Linked DNA regions of Arabidopsis thaliana. The protein of the gene in region 1 interacts with the protein of each later gene in a pairwise test. Each region holds a gene or a part of one and is shown on either strand. Other genes may lie near its edges. The genes, in order: MKK4 and MYBR1.

Evidence for each region.
Region 2: the proteins of MKK4 (region 1) and MYBR1 interact in a two-hybrid assay, tested with the Arabidopsis thaliana proteins (one study listed by BioGRID).

Annotation. Positions count from the first base shown.
Region 1 is NC_003070.9:19,146,369-19,162,996, forward strand, and holds MKK4 (mitogen-activated protein kinase kinase 4), read left to right. Parts: upstream 1-7,954; 5' UTR 7,955-8,206; coding exon 8,207-9,307; 3' UTR 9,308-9,970; downstream 9,971-16,628. Other genes in the region: EXO70G2 (exocyst subunit exo70 family protein G2), read right to left, coding at 3,494-5,476; AT1G51650 (ATP synthase epsilon chain), read left to right, coding at 6,312-6,495, 7,245-7,273; AT1G51670 (uncharacterized protein), read left to right, coding at 10,774-10,861, 11,432-11,820, 11,917-11,976; 4CL1 (4-coumarate:CoA ligase 1), read right to left, coding at 12,639-12,752, 12,849-12,951, 13,283-13,695, 14,041-15,096.
Region 2 is NC_003076.8:26,844,065-26,856,506, forward strand, and holds MYBR1 (myb domain protein r1), read left to right. Parts: upstream 1-9,957; 5' UTR 9,958-10,044; coding exon 10,045-10,962; 3' UTR 10,963-11,248; coding exon of another isoform or gene 11,249-11,854; 3' UTR 11,855-11,942; downstream 11,943-12,442. Other genes in the region: RLK (receptor-like kinase), read right to left, coding at 1-1,062; AT5G67290 (FAD-dependent oxidoreductase family protein), read right to left, coding at 4,355-4,725, 4,842-5,691; CYP81G1 (cytochrome P450, family 81, subfamily G, polypeptide 1), read right to left, coding at 11,249-11,854, 11,943-12,442. UniProt on the Arabidopsis thaliana protein: Transcription factor. Represses the expression of protein phosphatases 2C in response to abscisic acid (ABA). Confers resistance to abiotic stresses dependent of ABA. In response to auxin, activates the transcription of the auxin-responsive gene IAA19.

The DNA.
Region 1 (16,628 bases):
TATTTTATTAATATATATATTAATTATCAAATTTGACAAATTAATAAGACAAAAATAAATTTACTCAAAATCCAGAATTTTAGAAGAAAAAATTAAAAGAATTATTAATAGAAACTTATATTAAAATTCAATTAATTTAATTAACAATACCAATATATTAAAATCGAAACTACAGTCAAAAATATTTACACAATCTCAATATATTAGTGAAAGAGAATATATCGATCAGATTTAAGAAAAAATATTGCATACCTTATAATTTTGTTGTTTATTGGAAGATAGTAGTCAAATTATAAATCATCATCGTGTTTCTGCAAATTAACAGGAAAGAGACCGTAATCCCTATCAAAAAATTCAATCAGAATTATTCATCTTATAAATATATAGAGAGGTAAAAAAGCTTAACTTATTACTTTGCATAAAAGATAAATAATTAGAAAGCAAGACATACTTTAACAAAATCATGCGTGCGTATACATTTTAATCTCCCACATTACCTGCATAAATATTTTAAAAAACAGATGTGAGAAAAACATGAAAAATAGAGAAAAACAGAGAGTGTGAGAGGACACCTCGATATATTGCTTTCTCCATAGACTCGTCGATCCACAACCTCAGTTTTCTTCATGGTCTCGTTTTCTTCTGCTAGAATAAAAAAAGAGGCGAGAGAGTAAAAGAAAATAGGAACTGTTGAGTGAGTTCTTGAAATCTAAACTACAGTCAAAAATATTTACACAATCTCAATATATTAGTGAAAGAGAATATATCGATCAGATTTAAGAAAAAATATTACATACCTTATAATTTTGTTGTTCATTGGAAGATAGTAGTCAAATTATAAATCATCATCGTGTTTCTGCAAATTAACAGGAAAAAGACTGTAATCCCTATCAAAAAATTCAATCAGAATTACTCATCTTATAAATATATAGAGAGGTAAAAAAAGCTTAACTTCTTACTTGCATAAAAGATAAATAATTATAAAGCAAGACATACTTTAACAAAATCATGTGTGCGTATACATTTTAATCTCCCATATTACCTGCATAAATATTTTAAAAAACAGATGTGAGAAAAACATGAAAAATAGAGAAAAACAGAGAATGTGAGAGGACACCTCGATATATTGCTTTTTCCATGGACTCGTTGATCCACAACTTCAGTTTTCTTCATGGTCTCGTTTTCTTCTGCTAGAATAAAAAAAGAGGCGAGAGAGTAAAAGTAAATAGGAACTGCTGAGTGAGTTTTTGAAATGAGACAGTATTTATAAGATATAAATTTTTGGGGAAAAAGTATGCATAAAATAAATTGTGGAACTCAAGTTTAATGATTATGATGAATCTCATAATTATAGGAGAATGTTTAGCAATTATCTTATAAGTAGTTATTTAATTATGGAAATTGTTCGGAAACTTTATGTTAATTCAAAAATGAATATCCAACTAAATATTTGATTACCTATAATTATGGAGAAGCGATATTCAAATTTAAGAAAGGAATATACGCATTGAATATTTTAAATTAATATGATTCAATTGCTGAAAAGGGAATTAAATTAATATAATTAACAAAAATTAATATAAACCAAAAATGTAATTAATCTTATTTTTAAATGTTTAAACATATTTTTCTATTTTAATTATCAAACATAAAAAATAATTTAGTTAAAATTATTTTTCCAGTTATTTAAATAAATTTAGAATATTTAACCCAATTTCGAATTCAAACATATTAATTCGATATTTATAATGTTATATCTATAAATAAAGCAGCTTTGATTAGAAAATATTTTTAAAAAAATAATTGGATTAGTAATATTTTAGAATATAATAAATATTGTTGATATATGAGTATAATTAGTTTTCCAATTTTAAACACACGTAATTATGAATAGTATTGAATAAGGGAATATATTAATTAGAAATAAATAAAAATTCTTTCTCCAAAATTTTTGCTGTAGGATTTATTGAAAAAAAATCAATGGTTACAATTAATTCAATCGAATGGCCAAGATTATAACGTATGACCCAATAATTGTAAACCCGGGTCATAAGGATCCGCGTACTTTTAAGTGAAAGCGAGAGATCGGGCGGTAAAAACAATTCAAACGAATGGCCAAGATTATAACGTAACTTAAGTGATTCTCAGTAAAAGGTAATCTTTTTCATGACATTAACATTTTAAACATATGATTTAAAAGTAAAAATAATTTTAACGGAAAATCACTTAACGTACGTCTCAAATAATAGAGTAGATTTGGCAACACTTTAGCAATTAGATTTCTTGGTCAAATTGCTGACATAATCATCATAGACATATTTTGATATCTTTCCGGGATTATCTCCGAAAAAGATGACATGAAACTGACTAAAGTAGTAAAGTATGAATCTGGTTTTATGTATTTGTTAGACTTACCAAGCATTAACCTTTCTCAAATTCGTTTTTTTTCGGGTGAAGAAATCAAAAGTTAGATTTTAGATCATGAGACATATAGTTTCGTAGTTTGTGGTAATATACTATCAGTCTATCATTCTAGTTAACAAAAATTATTTATATATATATATATATATATATATCCAAAGTCACATAATTCATGTTGTAGATAAAAATAAATATATTAGTATAACATTAAAGAAAATAAAATGAAAACTACAAAAATGGTTAAGAAAGTTATTATGTTAATTTATTTATTAAAAAAAAGAATTATAATCTTATTATTTTTGCTCTAAATAATACTTTTCATTAGTAAGATTTTGGAATTATCAATCTCTCTCTCTACAAGAAAATGTAACTAGTAGCATCAAAGTAGTATATGATGAGGCAAATTTTACCAAGCTATCATCAAATCTAAATCGAGCTTCAAGGTCTTTAAAACTAAGGAGATTAAATCGAACTCTTCTTGAACTCGTGTAATTTTTCAATAAATCTAACTCAAAGAGATCAAACTATATTCTCATTTGATGGGCACACAATTATATATCAATGAGTTTAAAACAAATCTTTTTCTTTCGAGCCCACTATATGAATAGATAATATGCCCAGGCCCATATAAAGCCCTTCTGCTTTTGATGCCAGAATCGAATGAATCATCATCATCGGTAACGTTTACAGATTTAATTTCCGGTCTAATTGGTACAATTCTTCCGTCGGACCCGTCGTTGACCGCCGTTGATTTTTAAGTCTCCCCTGCCGTAAGAACTCTATTTAACATTGACCTACGACGGCGTTCAACTTCTTCGTTCTTGCTTCTCAAGAAGGTTCGCTCTTCAAGTTTAAAGTCTCAATTTTTTTCTTGTAAAGTTGCAAAGTTGGAAACTTTAATTTTGGTTTGACCAATCTCGAAGTTACAAATTACTTGAGTACGTAGTTTCCTATAATCTTTTGGATTCAATTTCATTACAACAACCAATTTTATACAATTCACACCTCTCTATGTTAGGCTAAGCTTCACTAAGAAACGAGTGTCTAGTTTCGTGATCTTGTCTAAGTATTATCATATAGCTTCTAATGTCGAGCGAGAATTCTGAGTAATCTCCAAATCCATCACTTTGTTCACAAAGTGAGAATCTTTGTCTCTCTTCTCTGTTTCTTCTTTCTTCTGAAACATTGTCTTCAGCTTCATCTCTAAACCCTTTGGAGTATAATATAAATGCTTACTATCACTCGTAGGATCTTCTTCTACTAGAAGCTTTATGTAGCTTTGTAGGTAACTCTTGTATCTTGGCACAACTGTTTTCACCATTGCTTGACATATCTTCCATACCAACTTGTCATCCTCAACAACCCAATTTGATTGCTTTGTGTATATCTCATCAAATCCTTTACAAAACGCTTGTAATGTTCGCTTAATGGACTCACGGGCTCGTTTTCCTTTCACAGGAGATGATTCTGATGATGATGATGATGATGATGAAGTGGTTTGAGCTTTGTTTGTGAGTAGAGACAAGAGATGTCCCCAGCTTTCTTTGACATAAAGTGCAGCGTAATAGTCTCTGTACTGCTCGTGTGCGTTTAACCAAGACTCTCCCATCATTTCCCCGAGATAAGTCTCTCTCAAGCCGCAGAAATGGGAGTGATTGTTCATCATAAAGATGCAAGAAAGAGCGGTTTCTTTGTTGGAACTTGACCATGCGTCCAAGTTCAAAGCAATCTCTCTCAGTATGTTGTAGATGTGACCTGTGAGAAGCTCTTCTTGATACTTTGCGTTCTTCCATCCCAAATCAATTTCTAGGACCTTCGACAAGATTGGCTTGTTGTTGTTCCCCAGTAGCTTGTTGCAGTACTCAGTCACAACGCTTACAAGCTTTGGGACACCTCCATCAAGAGGTGGGCAATTTGGTCTCTGTAGCTCTACCTGACAAGGTAACTCCCAGAAGATCTCGGAGACACCCTTAACGAGATTGCTGATTAGCTCCCGTGTAACTCTGCGTATCTCTGAACATTGTTCCCCTCGAAATAGCCTGTTAAACTCTATCCGAAAGTTGTCCATTGTAGAGAAACAATCTAAGAGCTTGATCAGCTTTGGTGGCTCTCTCTTGCATTTGCTGATTCTTGATCCAAATCTGAGAAGCTGAAGGATCACTGAATTTGAAGCTATTTCTCCAAAGCAACGCAAGGGAACATCTTCTCCAATATCTTCAAATACGTCATAGCAGAGCTTACTCTCAAACTCGTATATCTCTTTCACAGCTATCTCCATATGCAATCTCCATTGATCTATATCGCCTTCAATATCATGTACATTATCAGCTTCTGTGATTGTTTTCTCCAGATAACTAATCTCAAACCGTTTCTGAATGACCTTGGTGCGGACTTTGATGTAAACTGGTACGCAGCTTGTTAACCGCGTGTGAGCATGTAATCTCTTGATGATAGCCTGCAACTTTCTCAAGTTGTCTTCTGAGAAAACCGGCTTCTCTTGGAGAATCCGCTTGAATTCTGTTTCAAGATTCTTCAGCGCTGTGTAAAGAATACCTCCTTTGAGATAAGCACGAGACTCGGTCATTTGCAATTCCCGGAGAAGCTCTATGGAAGTCTTGAACCGCAAACCGCAAGGATGATCTTCAGGCATTCCCTTTTCGGTTAGGTACTCGATCGTATCTTCTAGCCAGTTAAGAGCAAGAACACAGCTACTGGAGAGAAGCTTCATCGCTTCTCCAAGACGTTTAACATCCGAAACATAACCAAGGACTCCATCAGAGGACACGAGAGATCTCTCAAGCTCTTGAACCGTAGCAAAGACTCTCAGGACAGCGGATATTGGAGCAATGGTGTGACGGATATGATCAGAGAAAGGAGAAGCCTTCCATCTCTCAACTTTAAGATCAGCTTCTAAAGACGACAACTTATGGTTGATCTCTTCAATCTTGGATCCAGTCTTGTTAAGAACCAATGAAAAGGTTTCAGATTTCTCCATCTCACTCTTCAATAAACTTCTCATTGCTTTAAGCCTCTCAAGTCTCTTTGATTCAGCCATTGTTTTGCTGCTTACTCAGTGGAGGAGGATATGATTGTTGCTTCAACAACTATATATGGATTTGATAACAATCCTTTATCCTCGGAAGATAAACCAAATTTCTTACCAAACCCACCAAAATAAGTAATTACCAGTGTTCTTCTTCTAAAGACTTCTATAAACCAAAACAAGATCACATATAATCATTAACTTAAAGCAAAACCCAAAGTCTTGTTTTATTTGTTAGTCAGCTCAACCATCTTTATCTGAAACTAAACTGTTTCTCTCTTCTTTGTTTCTGACAAGTCAATGAGATTGGTGTCTTCTCTCTGTTGCACATTTAATATTAACTTTTGAAAAACTACAAAACGAAACAAAACAAAGAAAAGCAGACATTTACACGAAATTATGCAGACATATACACGAAATTCAATCTACCTGAAAATGAGAATAAGTTTTGAGTAAATTTCGTGGAGACTCCTGGAAATAAGTTTGTTTGTTTTCCTATTTTTATGTAACTTCGCTTAAATTTCTAATTGCCTAATCAAGGTATTAAAATAGCAAAGCTTGGTTTGGCTCAGTCTTCGCGTAAACTCCAAGAAACAATCATAAAAACAAATAAAAAAGACAAGAAACCAAAAAAAAAAAAAAAGTTGAGAGATTTCAGTAGATGAAAGTTGGATAGAAGATTCGTGTAGTTAGCTACTTAATGGGCCGTTAAAATATTTAATAAGGCCCATTGGGTCTAAACTGTGTTAGGATTACTAGGGCACAGAATCGGTCTCTGTCCCATTTCGCGAACTTTCTCCTTAGAATCGGAACGGACGAAGAAGGAAGACAAGGAAGAAGATCGGAGATGGCATCGAATGCGGCGGTTCCGTTCTGGAGAGCGGCGGGGATGACATATATATCGTATTCAAACATCTGTGCGAATATCGTGAGGAACTGTCTCAAGGAGCCACACAAAGCTGAAGCTCTTACTCGCGAGAAGGTTCACTTCTCTCTCTCCAAATGGGCTGATGGAAAGCCCCAGAAACCTGGTAAGCCTTTTCGATCCTTTAATCGTCGATGTTGGATCTTAGATCTGGATTCTTCACGTTCTTGTGTTCTCGATTCCTGATTTGTTTTTGAGTAATTTGTTGGAATAATCTGATTTCCTAAAAGTTATCGGAATTAAGTGGAAAGTGAATCATCTGCTTCTGGATTTGATCTTCGATTTTGCATTTAACCTTTCCTCTGCTTCTGGATTTGATCAGTTCAATACTATCTTCATACAATGTTGTTATGTCCAAATTGTTGAATTTTTCATTTAGAGTTAGCTTCAGAGAAAACAACAAAACTAGTAGTATGTGTGAAACAAGAACATGAAGAAGATGGAAAGCTGATTGGGAACATTGCATTTAGATGTCTTTTCTCGTTTATGTTTGGATCTGAATTCTTCATGTTCTTGTTGTGTGTCATTGAAATTGTTGGAATACGTAGATATCAGAGTAGGTCATTTTGGGAAAGCTATTGAATTTAAGAGGAAGATGAATCATTTTAACAAGCTCCATCGATTTTGCGCTTAATCTGTCTCTCTTCTGCTTCTGGATTTGATTAATTTCATTCTATTTTGTTTTCTCATAAGTTGTTGTTATGTTCAAATTGTTGAATTTGGAATGATTTCATTTCTCAAATAGGGTTTACTGAGACAATGATTCCAGATTTAGTCTATCTGAAAATGGTTCAGCTTTCTTCTTGTTGATCCATTTGTCTAACATTCTCTCATGTTTTTGTTTTTCCTTGACAGTTTTGCGGTCAGACACACCTGAAGTTTGAAGTCAACTTTGAGCTTATGTTCTTAAGGGATTCAAAAGTAACTGAGTTACCAAGATTTGTTTTCTTTTTATTGTCAACAATGGAGCTTGAGTGAAAAACTCATTTCCGATCATAATAATGACACACTGAGTCTTGTGTATCTCTTTTCTTCTTTTGCTATTCTGTTTCACTTTTTGTATGCGAACAATGAAAAAAAGCCTTTAAAGACTCTTCTGGCTAAAGACAAGTTCTTTTGATTGTTACAGAACAGTGAGAATAGCATAAAACTAAGCACATACGTGGAGAATCAATACACTGTCAGAAGTTGAGAGAAGACCATACTTAATATTAAACATGAGAATATACAAACTGATTTTCTGAATCATGTATTTTGAATCGCAGTACGCATATTTGCAGGTTAGACCATCTCCAATGTCACTTTTACGCGTTTGTTTGATTTAAATTCGATTTCCTCTTCTTGGTTTATATCACAAAACCAACAAAACGACACCGCGTAAAGTCTGAAAAAAACTTAACAGAGCCAGAAGTGCCCAGTGAACCAACCACACAAAGTCACAAATGGTTTCCGTGCTTGAAAGTGATCCTCACGCGCTTTACACATCGCGTAGATACCTTTTTCTCGATTTTAACAATTTTGCTATTTATTTCCTTTTAATTAATTTTCTCAAAATAAAAATTAACGTTCCCTTTTCAGTGTCCTTTCAATTTCTTTCGACGAAACTTCATTTCTCAATTTCTTTTGATTTTGATCGCTTCGAAGAACGAATCAATTTAAGCCTGCCACAAACAAACCCTAGAATACGACAACGCACGACGACGAAGAAGTCGAAGAAGACTACTACTATAAACGACGAAGATCATTACTTCAATCTTCAATCGAGCTTTTAAATTTTCAGATCGTAGAAGAAAATCGAACTTTTGATTCCAAAAGCGATGAGACCGATTCAATCGCCTCCAGGAGTTTCCGTTCCGGTGAAAAGCCGTCCCCGTCGCCGTCCTGATCTTACCTTACCGCTTCCTCAACGCGATGTTTCTCTCGCTGTACCTCTTCCTCTCCCACCTACTTCCGGTGGTTCCGGTGGCTCTAGTGGATCTGCGCCGTCTTCTGGTGGTTCGGCGTCTTCAACGAACACTAACAGCTCCATAGAAGCGAAGAACTATTCGGATTTAGTGAGAGGTAACCGTATCGGAAGCGGAGCAGGTGGAACGGTATACAAAGTGATTCACCGTCCGAGTTCTCGTCTATATGCACTTAAGGTGATATACGGTAACCACGAGGAGACTGTGAGACGTCAGATCTGTAGAGAGATCGAGATTTTACGAGATGTGAATCATCCAAACGTTGTGAAATGTCACGAGATGTTTGATCAGAACGGTGAGATCCAGGTTTTGCTTGAGTTTATGGATAAAGGTTCTTTAGAAGGTGCTCATGTGTGGAAAGAGCAACAATTAGCTGATCTATCTCGTCAGATTCTTAGTGGTTTAGCTTATCTCCATAGCCGTCACATAGTTCATCGTGATATCAAACCATCGAATCTTTTGATAAACTCTGCTAAAAACGTTAAGATTGCTGATTTTGGAGTTAGTAGGATCTTGGCTCAGACTATGGATCCGTGTAATTCATCTGTTGGAACCATTGCTTATATGAGTCCTGAGAGGATTAACACTGATTTGAATCAGGGAAAGTATGATGGTTATGCTGGAGATATTTGGAGCTTAGGTGTTAGCATTTTGGAGTTTTACTTGGGGAGGTTTCCTTTCCCTGTGAGTAGACAAGGTGATTGGGCTAGTCTTATGTGTGCCATTTGTATGTCTCAGCCTCCAGAAGCTCCAGCGACTGCGTCGCCGGAGTTTCGGCATTTTATCTCGTGTTGCTTGCAGAGAGAACCGGGGAAAAGGAGGAGTGCTATGCAGCTATTGCAGCATCCTTTCATATTAAGAGCAAGTCCGAGCCAGAACAGGTCTCCTCAGAATCTACATCAACTCTTGCCTCCTCCTCGTCCTCTGTCCTCGTCTTCTTCTCCAACCACATAGCGTTTTCTCTCTTCTTCCCTTCATCAACTCATATTTTTTGTGTTACTACTGTTCTTGAGTCTGTTGTCCAATTTTTTGCTAATCATGGAGGGTCTCTGAATTTTACATTTATTAGGGAGTAAAAAACTCGAGAGAGGGTTTTTGGGATTATTGTTTTCTAGAAAGGTAAAAGAGAACAATGATAATATTCTTATGCTTATGATGGTGCATGTATCCCCAATGTAGCTTTGTTGAATTTTCATAAAAGTTTTTGCCTTGGTTTTTCTTTTGTCATTTATGCTCGTCAATTTTGCATCTTGAAGACGAAAAGGACCGTTTCGTTTCCATTCTCGGTGTTTAGTTTTGTCATTGATAAAATGTCTCCTTGTAAAGCTTATTACCATCATGAAAAAGCAAAATATACGGATCGTAGAATCGTTTCTCAAACCTAATCAGGTTGATGTCCCAGTTTAGAACATCCTTGGAAGAGTTTAAGACAATTCCTCAATCCGAGAGAGCAAAACGACTGTGTTTAGCAAAGTGGGTCTAATTGAAGAAAAGAGGAACTTGGGCCAGCTAAAGATAAAGCCCAATGTTGAAAAGACGTCGTCTAAGGCACAACAACGGTCAAACGGTCATCTCCAAAGTTGGAAAACGACAAGAAACAAAAACACAGAGCAGTGGTGATGAATTGAAAGCTTGTACGGAGAAAGTAGCGATTCTCGCAGCCATTGATACGATTTGATGACAGAGGATGGTGACATCTGTCCTATCTCTAGGGTTTTTCGAGTCACCCATACTCTTGTCTATAAATACTAAATCCTTTAGGTTCCTTTGGTTGCTTCCTCTGCTTGTGAGTTTTTCTTTGTAAGTGCAATCAGTGTTACTCTTTAGAGTTTTTTTCTAAGTTGTTGAGATTTTTGTAGCTTGCTTTGGTTTGTCACAATTTTTGCTTATGCATTTGCCTTTGTAGGAGCTTTTAGTTACGTTTTAGGGTTTTTTTTTTTTGTTACGGATTTTGCTTGCTTGTGCATTTCCTTTTTCAGTGTGATTAGTGAGTAGTTACGTTTTAGCGTTTGATCCTTCTTTATTTTTGTCATTCTTTGGTAAAGAAGCATCACACTGGCTCGATTTAACCACAAACTCCTTCCTCTGTTTTTTGTCATTGATAAAAATGTCATCTTTTTACTATTTCAGTGTGATTAGTGAACAATGAGGAGCTTTTGGTTAGGTTGTTAGCGTTTAAACTTCATTTAGTTTGGTCACATTGCTTCGATTTAGCCACATACTCATCGATCTGTTTTTTTGTCATTGATAAAAATGTTTCTTTTTGCTATAACTTCGATCCTATTAGGAAGCAAAGGTCCCTCTTGCTTTTCCTTTCTTTCGTGAAAAATCGCTTCACTTTAATTCCCTTGTTAATGTTCTTTGCATTTATTATTCACATCCATTAATGTAGTTTTATTGAAAACTTTGCAAATTTTCAGATGGCACTCCCTCCCTATGATCCGAATTTCACATTGGCTTTTTCATACGGTAGACGCGATAATGTCTTTGAGAATGACCCAGAGCACGGTAAGAACTTGTTACTGTATAGAATTTACTCATAAAAGTATCTCACTTCTTGGTTTTAAAACAGATTTTGATCTAATCCCTAGGAATGGTGAATTGTGGCTGTAGAATTAGGATGTTGTGTTGATTCATTGCTTTAGTTTTAGCCTGGATTTAGTGCAGGACAAAATTTACCCATTATGTTGAGTTATCACAGTTCTGGTCATGTGCTTAATTACACCAATGTCTTAAGTTTTGTTGTTGTTGGCTCTGATAACTTGTTTGCCAAGATAGGTTTTAGATTCTCTCAGATATTGATAGCATGTGTGTTGTCTTTGTACGTTTTTTCATGATTTCAGAGATTCTCTTTTATGTTAACAGTGAGATTTAAGTCATTTGACCAATCAATCAGCCAAATTTTGTGGCTGTAGAATTAGGATGTTGTGTTGAATCCACTGCTTTTGTCACATTGCTTTAGTTATAGCCTGGATTATGTTAGTATATCACAGTTGATTCTGATCCTATTCGTATCTTGTAAGATGGGAATACATTCAGATTTGATTTATTGTTCCATTTTGTGTTTTGTCTATGCAGATGAATCTGCTTCTGCTGCTATCGTAGCGGTTGAGCTGATAAGCTCTGCACGGCTTGCACTTAAGCTGGATAGTGTCCGCACTGAGTACTCAGCTCAGTATTTGGTGGACAAAGCTGGCTCACGCAACCTCAGGCGCAGGCGCAAGCTCACTGTCAAGGACTGCCTTAACTTTGCGTTAAAGAAAGGCGGCATACCGAGAGCAGAAGATTGGCCACCTTTGGGATCTGAGTCAAAGACCCCATCATCGTACGAACCTGCTCTCGTTTCCATGAAAGGAGAAGTGATTGAGCCTAAGGATATGGACGAAGTACCTGAGTTGTTGGTGCATCAATCAGCCGTGGGAGCAAAACTGCATGTGTTCACTCCACACATTGAACTTCAACAAGACGTAAGTGCTATAGCTGTTAGTTAAAATTCAATATAAAATGATCCAGAGAGATATACATCTGATCTAAAATATATGTTCATTTGTTTTGCGTGCTAGGCAATTTACTTGCCTCGTCAGGTGAGTATGCGCGCTACGTTGGACTTAGAGATGGGATAGTAGTTGGAACAGAGAAGATCCAAGGAAAGTCCATGGCAATAGTGAAGGTATGGTACAAGAAGAAGTTTGTAGTTGTCAAAGTGGCTTTGAGCAGGATGTTTTATTTGGCGGGCGTAGGGCCATCTGTGCTGCTTGTGGACTTTTGTGTTCCACGCCTATCCATCGATTAAGCAAGAAATATCTATCTATCTAGAGAACAACATGCTACTAGTGGAAGACTTTGTTTAAGAATGCATGTTTTCAGGAGACTTTTTTTATGTGATAAGTTGAGAAGTTGAGATCTCTACTTTCTAAAGACATATTTGTTTGGGATGATCGATTATTGTTATGCTTATTGAATCTTTGGGTTACTGTTCGCTTATGATGGTGCTTGTATCAAACTTTTCAGTTTCAATCTTCAGTTGCATAATCCGAGTAAATTTATTATTATATGAAAAAGGTGTGCTGTTTTCTCCAGCACAAGTTACATGATAGGAAACCAAAAAAGAAACCACCTTCATCACAAAGGCTCATTACATGAATCAAGCAAGAACAGCAACAACAACAACAACAACAACAACAAAAGACAATGGTTCGTATGAGTTTGTTTCCTTGGTTGGGTCAAACAGTTGTATGTATATACACATTGAAATCATCTTTTGCTTTTTGGTTGAAATCATCCATCACAATCCATTTGCTAGTTTTGCCCTCAGATCTTTCCTCAATATCTTCCCTGATGGAGCTTTAGGAATGGATTCAGTGAAGAACACTTTGTTGATTCTCTTGTAAAACACAACCTGTGATTTCAGATATATACAAAGTTTGCATCAATAATGATTCATTTCTCATGCATTAATCAAAATCAAGAACTTGCTTTGTAATTCACTTTTTACCTGTTTCGACACGAATTGCTTCACATCATCTTCTGATAACTCCGAATCCTTCGATTTCACCACAAATGCAACAGGAACTTCACCAGCTGCTTCTTCTTTCATTCTGTTTAATCATACACGTAACAACAAAAAGTGTAAGCAGTTTGAAACAGAGATGCTAGAGAAATCAAGATCGGCTCTGTTATTGATATCATTGATCTCCTTTTGTCATTATGCTTAAATTATGTTTTAATCATTCATGTTGGTTCAACAACATACTTTAATAATAGATTAGTACTCAGAACATAGATTAGCCTAAATATATTGTTGAACCAACAACATTATTTGGTCATGATCAAACAATGTCCGTTTTGTAGTTGTTGGTTCAACAACATATTTTGGCGCAATTCAATTAGCGACTGCAAAACGAACAACGGTTAAAAATTTGAACTTACGCGACAACAGCAACATCAGTAATGTCAGGATGACCGATGAGCAAAGCCTCTAGCTCAGCCGGAGCTACCTGAAAACCTTTATACTTGATAAGTTCTTTCAATCGATCAACGATGAAAAGCTCGTCATCGTCATCGATCAATCCAATATCTCCAGTATGAAGCCAACCGTCTTTATCAATGGTCTCTGCTGTAGCTGCCGGATTGTTGAGGTAACCTTTCATGATCTGGTGACCACGAATACAAATCTCACCGGGTTGATTCCTCGAAAGAGAATCTCCGGTGTCTGGATCAACTATTTTCATCTCAGCATTTCTTACAACAGTACCACAAGCTCCTGACTTAACCGGAAAAGGTTCCTTTGCAAAACCTAACGACATTGCTAGCACTGGACCTGCTTCCGTCATTCCGTATCCCTAATCATTTAATAAATTAAAGTTAGTTACGTAAAATTTAAAACTGAAGTGGCAAATTTCTTAAAAACGTTTTTGGTCAAATTTTGTATAACATTTATATTTTTTTTTACTATAAGAAATAAATAAAAATATGTCATCTGAGTAGCCAAAAATGTGATTATGCAGAAAATATAAAAAAATCGCACACAGTTGAATAATTTGGTTTTACTTTATTTGATCAAAATACAAACTGTATATAGGTATTTACTTATGTTATGTTTTTCAGTTAATTATGAGATTTCATTCCGTATAGTTATTTCGATTTTCCAAATTCGTATGATTCCGTATTTCCCAAAAAAAATATACCTGACCGAGTTTGGCATTAGGAAACTTGGCATTAACGGCATCTTCAAGTTCTTTACCAAGAGGAGCAGCACCAGATTTCACCACTCTTATCGAGCTCAAATCATACTTCTCCGTCTCCGAAGACTTCGCAATGGCCAACACAATCGGCGGAACCATCGGAGCCACCGTCACTTTACACCTCTGGATCAGCTCCAATAGCAGATTGATCTCAAACTTCGGCATTATCAGAATCGCCGCACCAACTCTAAGACCACACAACATGATCGAGTTCAAAGCGTAGATATGAAACATGGGCAAAACACAGAGTATGACGTCATCGCTGTGGAAATAAAGATTCGGGTTCTCGCCGTCGACTTGCTGAGCAACGCTCGTGACTAGTCCCTTGTGAGTCAGCATCACTCCTTTTGGTAATCCCGTCGTGCCAGAGGAGTAAGGTAGTGCCACCACGTCGTCCGGTGAAATCTCCACCGAGTCGATGACTTCTGATGCCTCGGTTGTCGACTGAGTCAACTCGGTGAAGCGGAGGCAGCCTTCAGGGATTGGCACGGATTCGTTGTCGTCGATGCAGACGATGACTACTCCGTCGTCGTTTTGAAGTGGTTTGATTTTGTCGACGTAACGAGCTTCGGTGATTATGAGTTTGGTGTTGGAGGCTTTGGCTTGTTTAGCTATCTCCGCCGGAGTGAAGAAAGGGTTTGCGGCGGTGGCGGTTGCGCCGCGGAAGGAGGCGGCGAGGAAAGAGAGGACGAATTCGGGACAGTTTGGGAGGAGGAGCATGACGACGTCGTTTTGGTTAACGCCGAGTTTGTGAAAATTGGCGGCGATTTGGCGGGAGATGACGTGGACGTCGGAGTAAGTGTACACGTGGCCGGTTGGTCCGTTGATTAGGCAAGGCTTAGTGGCGAATTCGGAGATGTTTTGGAAGATGTAGTCGTGGAGAGATAGGTGGTTCGGGATGTAAATATCCGGTAACTTTGATCGGAAAATGACGTCACTGTTGTTGTTGTTGCTCTGTTTCTCCATCACCTGAGAAACTGCTTGTTCTTGTGGCGCCATTGTAAATAGTAAATATTGTGATATTCAAAGATTTAGGTGGAAAAAAAAGGTTGGTTTTTTTGGTTGTGTGAATTTTAGGCTTTGGCCTGAAGGAAACAGGAGTTGTATCGGAGGAGTTCATATAGACAATTCACCGGAGTAGACGGTGGGGTTGGTGAAAATGTTAGTGTTGTTGTTTCATGATTTTGCTGAGGGTGATTTTGTCATTTAATCTTTTTTGAGTATGGGTTTCTCAAATTTTCACGTTGCGTTTGGTAAGCTGCATTTCTTTCTTTTAAAATCACATAAACTAGTGGTAATATATTTATAAGCAAATTTGTATTTTTCTGAAAAATTAACTGGATTTTGTATTTTTCATAAGCAAATTTCTTTGTTGAAATGTTATATTTTATTTATTTTTATGTTAATTATAGTAAATAAAAAAAGAATGGTTATTTAAGAATATTTGCAAAAAAAAAAAATGTAACAATTAATGTAAAAAAAAATGTTTTGATAACGTATTACCGTAATTGAATATGTTTCTTCACATGATTTAATTAAATAAAGTAATGATTTGTATGTTTTTCCAATTTTTACCATATAAGCGATAAAATCAACCTTGGCATATGTTCTTTTCCATTTTGGGCATATATATTCTAAGAAAAAAAAGAAGTAAAAACAGTTTGTATGATACTTTTAATAGATAAGCCAAAAAAATCATGTAAAATGACATAGCCAAAAGTTATATTATAAATATATGCTATATTTGGGTATATATGAGTGTATCATACTCTAACAATTTCTTCATTTGTTGTTGATTTGGTCTATTTTGGTTCCATAAAAGACATATATATTACCAACGACCACGGAACCCGTATATGAACAATTGAACGTCAACGGTATATGAACAATTGAACAATTGAACCCGTATAATTTTATTTTATTTCTACAACCATTTAATTCAACTTTGGAGACCAGTCAAATCCATTTGGATAAAAAGAAAGTTATGGGCTAAAAGTGTAAAGCTTGAGAAATAAAGGGGTAGGGTTGGAAATAAAGGAAATGGGTTTGGTAAGAGAAGAAGAGTGGGTTGGTGAAGATAGCGAGAGATATATTGATTGGGCTTTGGTGGAAGAGTGGGCCCATGTTGACGATATAACCGAAGCAATAGTCCAAGTAAAAATTGAAATATTTGACGATAAATCTTCATTTCTTCACCAACCCCACCATTTTTAATATTCTTTTATATAAAAATCGTAATAATCATGACCATAATACATATATCTCCAAAATCAATGGACAATATAGCCTTCACCAAACTCATCCTTCAACTGATATGTTTTTTTTTAAAACCGGAGGTATTAGAGACCGAAAATTTTGAAATTAATAAGAATTTGGGTCTTTTTTAAGACTAAAAAAATATTTACAAATGACCAAAATGCAAGATGCAAGAATTTTTTGTTTTCTGAGAAAAATCTATATAAAACGTAAAATCTCATCAAAAATTCTACATTTCAAACGGGCTACTAAGTACTAACCCATCACAACTTGGT
Region 2 (12,442 bases), on another chromosome or scaffold:
AATCCCGAGGATTGCTAAACCGGCTAAGTCACCGACAACAATGCCAATGATAAGCACCGGTTTATGATCCCATTTTGATTTCGGACCGGTTTTGGAGCTAATTGGGTGATTGGTTAAGCCAATAGTATTTGGTATAGCAGCTAATGCAGGAGGAGAATTTGGAGTCGGCGATGGAGGTGGAGAGGTTGCTTCACCGTCACGACAAGGGTGTTTTGCATGGTCGGATCCGCAGAGACCCGGGTTACCGGAGAAAGAGTTGGATTCTTGGTTATCGAGAACCCGAAAACCCGGGATTTGACCTGTAAGTTGGTTGAATGAGAGATCAACGGTGGCGTCTTCCGGGATTTCGTCGGCGAAACCTGACGGAATCTCGCCGGAGATTCTGTTGTACGAAGCGTTGAAATAGCGTAGACGATTCCCTCTGAAATGTGACGGCAACGAGCCTTTGATCAAATTTGACGAGAGATCAAGATACTCCGTCGACTTAAAACCTCCCGGAATCCCGCCGGATAAATAGTTTTTCTGAAGTGAAATCTCCGTTAAGTTCCGGTTCCATCCTAATGTGTTCGGTAATTCGCCGACGAAGGAATTATCGGAGAGATTCAACACTTGGAGGTTCGAAAGCGCGCCAAAACTCGCCGGTAGTGCACCGGAGATGTGATTATCGGACAGATCAAGAAATCGAAGCTCCGTCGCGTTGAGAAGCGAAACCGGGAAAGACCCATTGATGGAATTGTTGGAAAGATCAAGTCTTTGAAGTGAATTGAGTGAACCCAAATTTGAAGGTAGTGTGCCGGTAAGGTTCGAGCTTGGAAGTGACAGAACAGTCACGTGCCGGGAAGATGCATCGCACGTGACACCACGCCAAGAGCAAGGAGTCTCGTCGTCGAATCTCCAGCTCCGAAAAACGTAAAGAGGATCGTCAACGATTGAGTAACGGAAAGAGAGAAGAAGAACACCGTCTGTGGTCAGAGCAAGAGAGGTTTTGTCGCAGAGGAAGAAAAGAAAAACGGTAATCAGGAAAAGATAACGGTGGAGATCGGCGGCGACTGTCGTCATCATGCTTCAAGCCTACGCATCGATAGAGAACTAAAAGATTGATTTTTTGAAAAGGCCATGTGATTGTGAACGATATATGAAAGTGTTTATCTTTTTATGGAATTCTTGATTTGAGTAATTCTTTATAAATATAACTTTTGTAAATAAAAAATTCTATATCCTATGTAAATTGCACGGAATGTGATAACAAAAGTTAACACTGTTTTCCTATTCGTAAATTATGCTGACGTCGCTTTGTCGTTTTTCACGTTTATATTCAACGTGGACCCTAATATTGGTTCATCATTGTTTACATTGATCTTCAAAGAAACGTAACAAAACCATATAAATCTGGATAGTTTTGTTTACATTTAAATCTTTGCTAGATCACAGAAACTATATAATATACTAATTCTGTTACTCCTTTTGATTATGACGGAAATTGTGACGTGAGATTACGCATATCGATCATGTGATGTGTGTGAAGAATTGTATTATTAGCCAATTAACTAATATCTATGGAAACATGATCAGATGGGAGAATAGTATCTTTGCTATAAGACATTCACAAAAAGTTCGAAATTTTTGCAGGTCTCTCACTGACTTGGATTTACTTATATATGACCGTTTTATTATTGTTTTCTCATTACACCTAATGTTTCTCTGATCATAGTACATCTTATAGATATAGGCTTATTAAACTAATCTATAAGATAAAAATAAAACTAATCTAGTGATTCGTTATAATATTGACTTTATGCGCAAAACACATAAATAAAAACAAGTGTTTCATATAAAATATTACTAGATATCCTTAGCAAAAAATAAATTAACATTACTAGATATACCTACTTTTTCAGAAATAATATTCGTTTCATGATCTAATCTCTGTTTTAAATGCAGTTATAATTTTGCATATACCAAAAATAAAATCAGAAGATTCTTTTTAATGAAGTGCAAGTAGACATTTAATGTCTTAGTTATATAAGAAGAATTCGATTTGATTCATATTTATGGAATCCTTATATATGTAGTTTAACATGTACTACGTAGTAATAATCCCAATGGATCACGACTCACAACTCACGACTCACGACTCACGAGAGTTAGACTGATAAAAAAAGGAAATATCAAAAACACTAAACAGTTATGTGTTGCATCAAAAATATATAAATGTAGTACTGTATCTACCAAGAGGTCAACATCACACGTAAATAAATGCATGTCAAGATTAATGTACACCGGGTCAAATTGATTAAAATTGGTCCCCGTTTTAATTAAATTTCGCGAGCGTCATTGTGGTCCTTGTTATTTGATTGCCAAAATCACAAAATTGTTTATGTATAAAATACTGTATATATGTTTTACCGGTTGGTATTTGTTTGTTTTTGTTTGTTACCACCATATGTCACGGTTTCTCAAACGATTAAGTAATCATGAGATGAACATGGTTTATTTATCGTTTAAGAATTTTTCTGCAAACCAGTGCAATCACTGGACCGAAAAAAAATCCAATTATTTCTTCTGCTGTGTGTGAAACAATAAAACATATGAGTGTCGTGTAGTCCAAGTTTCAGCATTAATTACAGTATTAATCGTTGTGTGTGAACAATACCCACTACAGTGATATTATAGACTCATAGTTGAGTTTGACTGTAAATTGTCAGAGCAAATTTACTTATAGTCGACATTCATGTTACAAATTGGACAAGGTAAGTTTCGAGATTCAGGTTCACAAGCTATTTACCATTTCTGTATGTTTTATCTTCCTAAACGTAACCACTATGTGATTAGTCTGTAAACTCCAATACGAATATATACAAAGCTGTAGTAATACATTATTAATTAGAGGATGGCTACTAGTTTGGCGGTGGACAAAGACGGGAGATGCATGAAAAATGGCGTTTTCTACTTACCATTATGCAAAACTCCAAAGTTATTATCGTCTTGCAAAGTTATAAACCAATCCTGAGTTCGACAATTTTTCAAACAGTGATAATATAATAATACAACACTGCGCATTGTCACTTGATCGGTCGGGTGTTTTTGGATATATTATATGATATCTGTTATGACTTTATACATTCTTTCTTTTCCTCCACAAATATATGATGATTTTATTCGAGAAAATAACGGTCAAGAAAATTGTTATAGTTCCTAGAGTATTTGATTATGCCAATAATATTTAGATTGTTTGATTCTTTGAAGTGAACATGTCGAAGCCATTTCTGGTAGTAAGCTACTATCTAGTGGCTTTTAACAACGACATATGATTAGAATGATTAAGTGAAATGGGTCATATGATTATTTAATTACTTAATGAGCTTTTCAAAAGACAAAAGCTTAAAATGGCATTTTCTTTGTTAATGACGTGACAGAAATAAAGAGATATTTATTCTTCTTCTTCTTCTTTAACTGATCATATTTATTCTATGTTTATAAATAACTAATCGAACAATTTAAAAGGGGTAGAAACTAGAAAAAGAGTACACTAAAAAAAATAAAAATGATAACTATAGAAGAAGTAACTAGAATATATTCATCGTAGTTATTACATTCTGGCGAGTAATAAATTTTGTAACATTTATTATTTAGCTATTCAAAGAGGTGTAATGGTCTTGAAGATATATTTTAAAATCCCTTAAAGTAATGTGTTTTTTCCTTTTTATGGAACCTTTTAGAAAGATACATAAAGGAATTGGGCACAAAATTAAAAGCTCGAAAAGCTTCAAGTATGTAAAAAAAAAAGCTAGGGAATAAAATTTAGCAAATCACGTGTAAGAGAATTTGAGAGTTACTAAAAATAAGATAAGATACTTTTATGATGATAATAATACTAAAATCTTAAAGATATTATTCTCATTGGATTGGTTTTGTGCGTCCCTTAATGGGTAAGCAAAAAGTACTGTAAAACCCATTTGGCATCGCAAATCAATAAGCTTTTATGGGTCAGTCAGTCCATTGGTTGGGCATAAAGATTATGTGTTTTCTTTTTGCAAATTTGTAATATATCATGTCCACAAATAGATCTAGAAAGCTTAATATAACTGGTGAGAAATACATTTTAATATAGCAAAGCAGCGAAATACATACCATTCGTTAACCATTTCGTGTGTTTCGTCATTAGCATTTTGAGTTAGAGTTTGCCTTTAGATCTAACCAGTACTACTAAAATGCTCAACGATTACAAAATACAATCACGTATCACATTATCACATTTTAAGATTCCTCGTTCACAATTCTGTTTGCTTAGACTTCAAAGAACAGAGTAGCTTTTATGTGATATCTCAACGAACACTCTATATTACTATACTCTTCATCTTCGTTTGCTAAACCGGGAAGGACTAAACCGGCTAAGATCAACACTTGTGGCTACACCGTCTACAATAAGCTCAGCCAAAGCAGCACCAGTGGCTGGACCATTAAGAATCCCCCAACAACTATGCCCTGTGCCTACATAACATCCCTTGATTCCTGGAATCTCTCCGATCACAGGAACTCCATCTTCTGTGCTGGGCAAGAAACAAGCTTGCTCTGCTTTCACTAGAGCGTTTTCTTCGTTTAGATAGCTCGAGACTGTTTTCGCAACTCTCTTGAGAACCTGGATCGATTCAGGATTGCTTGTGACCTGATCAGCATCATCAGGTACCTCTTCTTGTGATGACATTCCACATATGTACACTTCACCTGTCCAAAAAAAACAAACAACAAACCAAAGCAACCACTTCTCATTTTTTCCATTACTTGTATCAGAAAACGAGATTAAGTCAAAGTAAAATCACATGAAAGAACCGAAATTTTACCTGTGGGACGAGGGTATACTTCAGGGTCCAAAGCTTCACCACCATGAGCAGGACGATAAGTTAAGAACAGGGCATGAGGTGTTATAGCATTTGGTTCCTTCGGTTCCAAGACAATGCTATGAGCTTTAGTACAATAAACCCTAAAAATCGAAGACAACAGCTCAAATTTACTCGACCATGGACCCATCGCCAGAACCACCACGTCAGTGTCTATAACTCTCCCACCTTCAAGCACTACAGAGTTAACTCTACCTGATTCCACTCTCACCTCTTCTAATTTCCCGATCACAACCTCAACACCGTACTTCTCTCTCGCCGTCGATAAAAGCTTCCGAGTAAAAAGTTGAGGATGCACTTGTGCTGTTGTTTGAGTTGTACCAATCGTTGATGTGCTTTTAGCTGGGCCGTTGACCCAATCCGGTAATCCCAAACCGCCGGAACCGGGTTTTGATTCCGTCACGGTGACGCTAAGAGTCGTGAGTGCTCTGTATCCGTACGATTCGACACCGTTTAGCTCCTCAGCGAGCGATCGATGGAGTTTAAAGCTCGCGCGTGCTAAATGCGCAACAGGACTTCCATCGCACCAATCGAAAGCGAGAAATCCACCGGCTTTACCGGAAGCAGCGCACGCGACGGCTGATTTCTCGACGAGAGTGACGGCGATTCCTTTCTTGGCGAGGAAATAAGCAGTACAGACGCCGATTACTCCACCGCCGCATACAAAGACCCGCTTCGAGGTTTCTTCACCGATTTGTTTTTTAGCCGCCATTGATTTCGATGAGTTGGAGCAGATCGTGATTGTTCGTCGGGTTAACACCGGAGGGAATAATAACGATGAGATCACCGCCATCACCGAGATGAGATAGATGATGACTCACCGAGTCCACACGTTAGTTAGAAATTATTTATTGGGCTTAGTTTCTTTTTGGGCTGATCTTTTGAAGCCCATTTATTGTATAATCTCTACGCTATTGTGTGTTACTGTGTTTCCTATGATATTTAGTAGCTGATAAGTGATAACTGATATTCTCTGTATGAATTTCAATGAATAGTTTTCTGATTCTAGATGTTTTAAGAAGTTGAAAAGGACTTGTTGAAATAAATTATGGGGGAAAAGGACAAATGACCAACTAACAATCAGATAGGCCATTCCAAAATTGGGCTCCACCACTTTGACGACAAAAGCCCATTTATAGGGCGGCTCTACTTCGGCCTTTCATCAACCACACATACACTCCTAATGATTATTATTCAATATATTTTTAGTAGGTACTGTGATGTTGTTAACTTTCAGTTAGATAGACCCGCCGAAACTTTTTCTTATAATATTACATATAATTTCGCTCTGTTTATAATCATTTTATTCCTCTACTTAAACAGAAGCTTCTTTCATTCTTTGTGTTCATTGAACTTGTTTACTATACGGAAAGTTTCTGCAATTCTATAAAAATATATATAAAATAATGAACTGTTTATAGAATTGTACTTACTTTTTTGGTTTTAGTGAAGCAAATTTCTATTTAATCACACATTTACTGCACTCTAAAAAGGTGAAAACCTAAAATGTAATCGTTCACACATTATCTTCATGTTCAAATCCGATGGAATATTTATCGATCCAAGAGTTTCAATTAATAATTTGCAACATAATCTTCTTATGCCTTTCTTATTTAGCAAGTGTGATGGTCGATCCATTGATCATTGTTCATGAAAGTTGATGATGTGGTCGATATTTTCTCCACATGAGAAGTATTGTTTTGAAAAGAATATTTATCATATACTACTATTATTGACAGAAAAAACAGTGTAGAGAGTATTGTTAATATTAATTAAGTCAAAAAAAGCCGGCGGCCAATGTGGGGAAAAAGCTTCACACACTTTCATGTAGTAATCTGTCCTTTTGTTTCTAGCTTTATATTGCCCTCGCTTTTGCCCGTTCATGACTCTTATGATGCTTGGTCGTAAAACGTGATTCCATGCATTATCTTATAGAGTTATAGTATATAGATATTATCAAAATGATCAAGTTTTTAATATCCCAATTCTACATTTGAAATTTTTTAACATTTGATTTACAAAGTTGACGATAAATTTCAGATTTGAAGACGAAATAAAGCAAATCTTTAAATAAGTTTTTTTGGAAATATCATATGATATCAGAATTCTAAAAAATCCAACAAATCGGTAAGTTCTAACATATAAGATGAAATAGTACTTGGTAGGTACAAAAATTAAACGTTTTGATTCCACACATACAAAAAGAAGAAGAAAAGAGTAACTTTTTATTTGTCGTCCAACAAAGAATCGCTTTTCAATCAAGCTTTAGTGAAGGTGTTAGGTGTGTGTGGCTTAAGCATATACATCAGAAGACCAACAAAATTTATCTTAAGCACGAAGGTCACCGAACGTAGTCGTTTCAACGATGACCGTACCATTAATGCAGATTTGTAGTGCGTGTGGATATATACATGCACACGTGTGGAAGGTGAAGGTACAAAATGTGCATACGGCTTAAGGATAAGCGAGAACACGGAAGGATATTTTGTAGCAGCATCTTTCTATTCTATGCAACTAAGTAAACGAACCACATGCACCTGTTTTCTTTAATTTATTGCCTTTGTGATTTTTTTTGTTGACACCATTATGTTTTTTTTTTGTTTGTAAACCATATAATTAAGTAGTTTCCCTAAACCGTTAACAATTAATACATTCTATAATGTCGAATAAAAAGAAAAGGTAATGCAAGTGGAAGAATATCTAAACACGTTAGTAGACCAATAGCAAAATTACAGTTGCTAGCTTACACGACAGGAGGAACAAGACAAGAGTAGTTTTGCCTTTGTTAAGAATAATTAGCATGACACGTCACTCAAACTTACACGTGGAAGGATAATTCATGGACACGTGGACATACTGGAAAACAGCTGTTAAATCTTTGTCCGGTTATCGTAAGTTTTTGAATTTTAAAACTGTATTTAGCCGAATTAGGTCATGTTCCACGTGCCTTTTTTTCTGCACCACTATCTCTTTTCCACAAGAGGGGCAATGATTTTTTGGTCCAAAAATATACAGTTGTAATCTTGGACGGTGTGTCTTAAATAAAATAATATATGGACGGTGTTTTCTTTAATGTTTTCTATGTTCATATGAACTTCTCGGTGGTCGTTTCAATCACAAAATTTATCATACCAGAAAACAAAATATTTTCAATAATTGAGGCTGTACGTTGTGTATTTTAGGTTTTTTCTTTAGATTGTTGCATGTTATATTTTCAGTTTACTATATGTTGTGATGATTATTCGTTACAAATGTTTTCAAAATGTCATACTATAGTAGTCATTTATAATAGATATGAAAAATGATCACAGTTGATTTGTTTTTTTGGTGGACTACGAATAAAATCGTTTTGGTAATTGTCTAATCTTCGAGTGAGTAAGACACCGTCAATCAACCATCAATATCATCAATCAAAACCATTATTGATCTATTTTTTGGTTTAAGGAAAAGTTGGTAATTGTAAAACGACTTCAATAAAATATTTAAAACAAGGAGACCAAAACCGACACTCGGACCATTGATAATAGAAACAACGAGCAAGGTTATAGTAGTATAGTTGAGTCTCACAAACGAACACGTAAACCCAATATAATAACTACGCAAGGTTACATCTAGAGCTTATTGTTCCCATCACAATAACCTCTTGGCATTATTAATTATCAAATTCACTCAAAGTATTAAACTCCTGATGTCTAATAGATTATCAACAAATCGACAAAAATGTAGATATATAACTCAAAAGGTATAAATTCAAATGTTTGGTGGGGTTACGTAAAAACTTGAATTATTAAGAACTAACAATACTATAGTTTAATTAAAAGGAGAATTATGAACCGTTAGAGGGAAGGTTAGGGAGCGTGCATGAACATTACCTGACGTTTACCGACCTGATTCGTACCGTACATACCAGAACAAAGAGCTTTTAAAAACCCGCGTTTTACGACCGACACGTGGCAGTTCTTAAATGGATGACAGTTAGTGTTTTATTAATTGTTTTTGTTTGATTAACAAGTTTTATACAGCCTGGCTGTTTCTATTCGTATTTTCGATATAATAATTAAATATATTTCAGGAAACAAAGGCAGTGATGATTTTGCGTTCCAATTCGGCAACCTATGTTGTCGTTTTCTGCCACGTCAAAACCTCCTATCTTTTGTTAACCGCACATTTTACATCACGTTTCCTAAACCGAACATTAATATCTAACCATTTTTATACATTCACTTAATATCGCTCACACGGTTCTTTGTCAATCCCATTTTAATCCAGCTTCGTTTCAAATTATTGAGGTTTAGATCTTTTTATGATCATAGAGCAACTATATATAGATTTAGTATTGTCAATTTGTCATGCACTGTTATATGCATGAATTAGGTGTTTGTGTGTTGTTTAGTAATTAATTATACCTTCTTAGTGACAATTTGTTTTCTTTATTAGTAATGAAATTTGTGGTCAATAATTTTGATTAGTTTTCAACCCGGAAAATCGGTTATATGTAAAGTAGATATTATCATAAAGTTTTTATGTGAAGTGCTATACAGCCTGGCTTCGCTATTCTAAAGTCAAGACTAAACATAAAAATAAATAAAAACTGTCCTTACCCAAACCTAACCGTTATCATCTTTTTATTTTTTTCTTCAGATATTTCTTTTTCATTTTTATTTCCCCTATAAAAAAATTTAAATTCACCTCAAATTGTGCGAATATTATCATGGCTTTGCTAGTTGGGTTTCGTGATTTTGTCTCTTTAACTTCTTACTTTCGCCACGCGCTTAAATGGCGCGTGTACTCACAAACTCATACTTTGAGACTCGACTGATCTCCACGCTCAACTATACGAAATTGCTGATCTTGAACAAAATTATTACGAAAACGACAAAAAAGACACATCGACGTAGTCAGGCTTCGACGCGTGTCCACTTACAGCTGTACCGCAAACTTTGAAAAACCGCTTGCGTGGAAGAAGCGTTGCCCATGACTTCTCCACCGTCTTAACCGGTTTCCGGTTATCCTCCTCTCTTAAATCTCTGTATAAATAATTTTGTCCTCTCTTTAGTTTCTCGAACTTGTTTTTGGTTCATCTCTCAAAACCAAAATCACTAAAGAGGAGAAGATTGCTAAAGTTTGATAAAACATTCCAAAATCAATGGCTGATAGGATCAAAGGTCCATGGAGTCCTGAAGAAGACGAGCAGCTTCGTAGGCTTGTTGTTAAATACGGTCCAAGAAACTGGACAGTGATTAGCAAATCTATTCCCGGTAGATCGGGGAAATCGTGTCGTTTACGGTGGTGCAACCAGCTTTCGCCGCAAGTTGAGCATCGGCCGTTTTCGGCTGAGGAAGACGAGACGATCGCACGTGCTCACGCTCAGTTCGGTAATAAATGGGCGACGATTGCTCGTCTTCTCAACGGTCGTACGGACAACGCCGTGAAGAATCACTGGAACTCGACGCTCAAGAGGAAATGCGGCGGTTACGACCATCGGGGTTACGATGGTTCGGAGGATCATCGGCCGGTTAAGAGATCGGTGAGTGCGGGATCTCCACCTGTTGTTACTGGGCTTTACATGAGCCCAGGAAGCCCAACTGGATCTGATGTCAGTGATTCAAGTACTATCCCGATATTACCTTCCGTTGAGCTTTTCAAGCCTGTGCCTAGACCTGGTGCTGTTGTGCTACCGCTTCCTATCGAAACGTCGTCTTCTTCCGATGATCCACCGACTTCGTTAAGCTTGTCACTTCCTGGTGCCGACGTAAGCGAGGAGTCAAACCGTAGCCACGAGTCAACGAATATCAACAACACCACTTCGAGCCGCCACAACCACAACAATACGGTGTCGTTTATGCCGTTTAGTGGTGGGTTTAGAGGTGCGATTGAGGAAATGGGGAAGTCTTTTCCCGGTAACGGAGGCGAGTTTATGGCGGTGGTGCAAGAGATGATTAAGGCGGAAGTGAGGAGTTACATGACGGAGATGCAACGGAACAATGGTGGCGGATTCGTCGGAGGATTCATTGATAATGGCATGATTCCGATGAGTCAAATTGGAGTTGGGAGAATCGAGTAGACAAAGTGAGATTATTAGGAAACTGTTTAAATTGGAGAAGAAGAAAAATGCTCTGTTTTTTTCTCCTTTGGATTAGGCTTAAGAATTTTGGGTTTTAAGGAAATGTATAGAGGAAATCGAGTGAACAAAGCTCGAGAGCTGGGGACGTAGTGACGAAGACGAAGATCAAATTTCTCTTAAGCTATTCAGGAAAATAAAATAAATTTTTATTTATAACTACGCTTAATGATGATAATAGATCAAATTAATACACAAAGTATCACAAAGTGAAAGATAAATGATCCAGTTAAAGAACAAGTTTGTCGAGGATTGGTAAAGACTTGCATTTGGCAACTAAAGGCACAGATTTGGGCATGGTAAGACCCTTTCCTTCCGACATGTCAACGGCAACGTCATTGTCTCTCTCCCAATCGAAACACTGGATCAATGAGCCTAAAGCTAAGCTCAGTACTAGTTGGGCCAGGCCCATACCAGGACATGCTCTCCTACCGATTCCGAAAGGCAGAAACTTACCACGATGGGTCTCTGATTCAAACCTCTCTGGTTTGAAAGTTTCTGGGTCATCCCATACATTTGGGTCTCTCTGAATAGCCCACGCATTGATAAATAGCCAGGTGCGACGTGGAATGTCAAATCCAGCGACTTCACAGTCAGTGGATGAAGCGTGTGGGACAAGTAAGGGCGCCGCCGGAAACAAACGAAGAGTCTCAGAGATCACATTGTTGAGATAGGGACACTTGCCAGTATCTGATTCCTCAAACACACGCCCTTCTTTCGAAACCTCGTTTAGTTCCGTTTTGAGTTTCCTTAAAACTTCCGGATGATTTAGAAGGTTAGCCATAGCCCACTCCAACGTCACTGCGGTTGTGTCCGTTCCAGCAAGCAACATCACCTGCAATGAATCCTTTGAATCTTTGATGAATCAATCTTGATCACTCCTATTAACGATTCAAAATTATAGGAATTAAAAACTCATGTACCTGTACGAGCCCTTTGATGATATCATCAGTGTAACATTCAGGTTCTGATTCTTGAAGAGACAGCAAACGAGTGATCATCGTTTTCTCAAGCTCTGCTTTTCCTCTGTTTTTCCGATGCTCGTCGACTAATTTCTGCATAAACTTGTCCAATTTCGAAGCGAGTTTCTTTGCTCTCTTTCTGTATCCATCAAGATCAAAGAGCTTCAGAGTCGGGAGAAAATCTCCGACATAATTAACACCAGCGAAATCGAACACCTCCCTAATCAGCTTCCGAACTTCCTTAGTTTCCTCGTCTTCCTCTCGTTTTCCAGCGACCATGCTCATTAGGATGTTATACGTAAGCCCATAAAGAAACGGCTGGAGTTTCAATCTGACACTGCCTCCTGATGTTACCAGTTCCACGTTGATCTTCCGAATCATAGCTCTCACTTCGTCTCTCCGTATATCCGAAAAGTCTCTGAGACGAGCGGTGGACAAGATATCTACGGCGCAGAAACGGC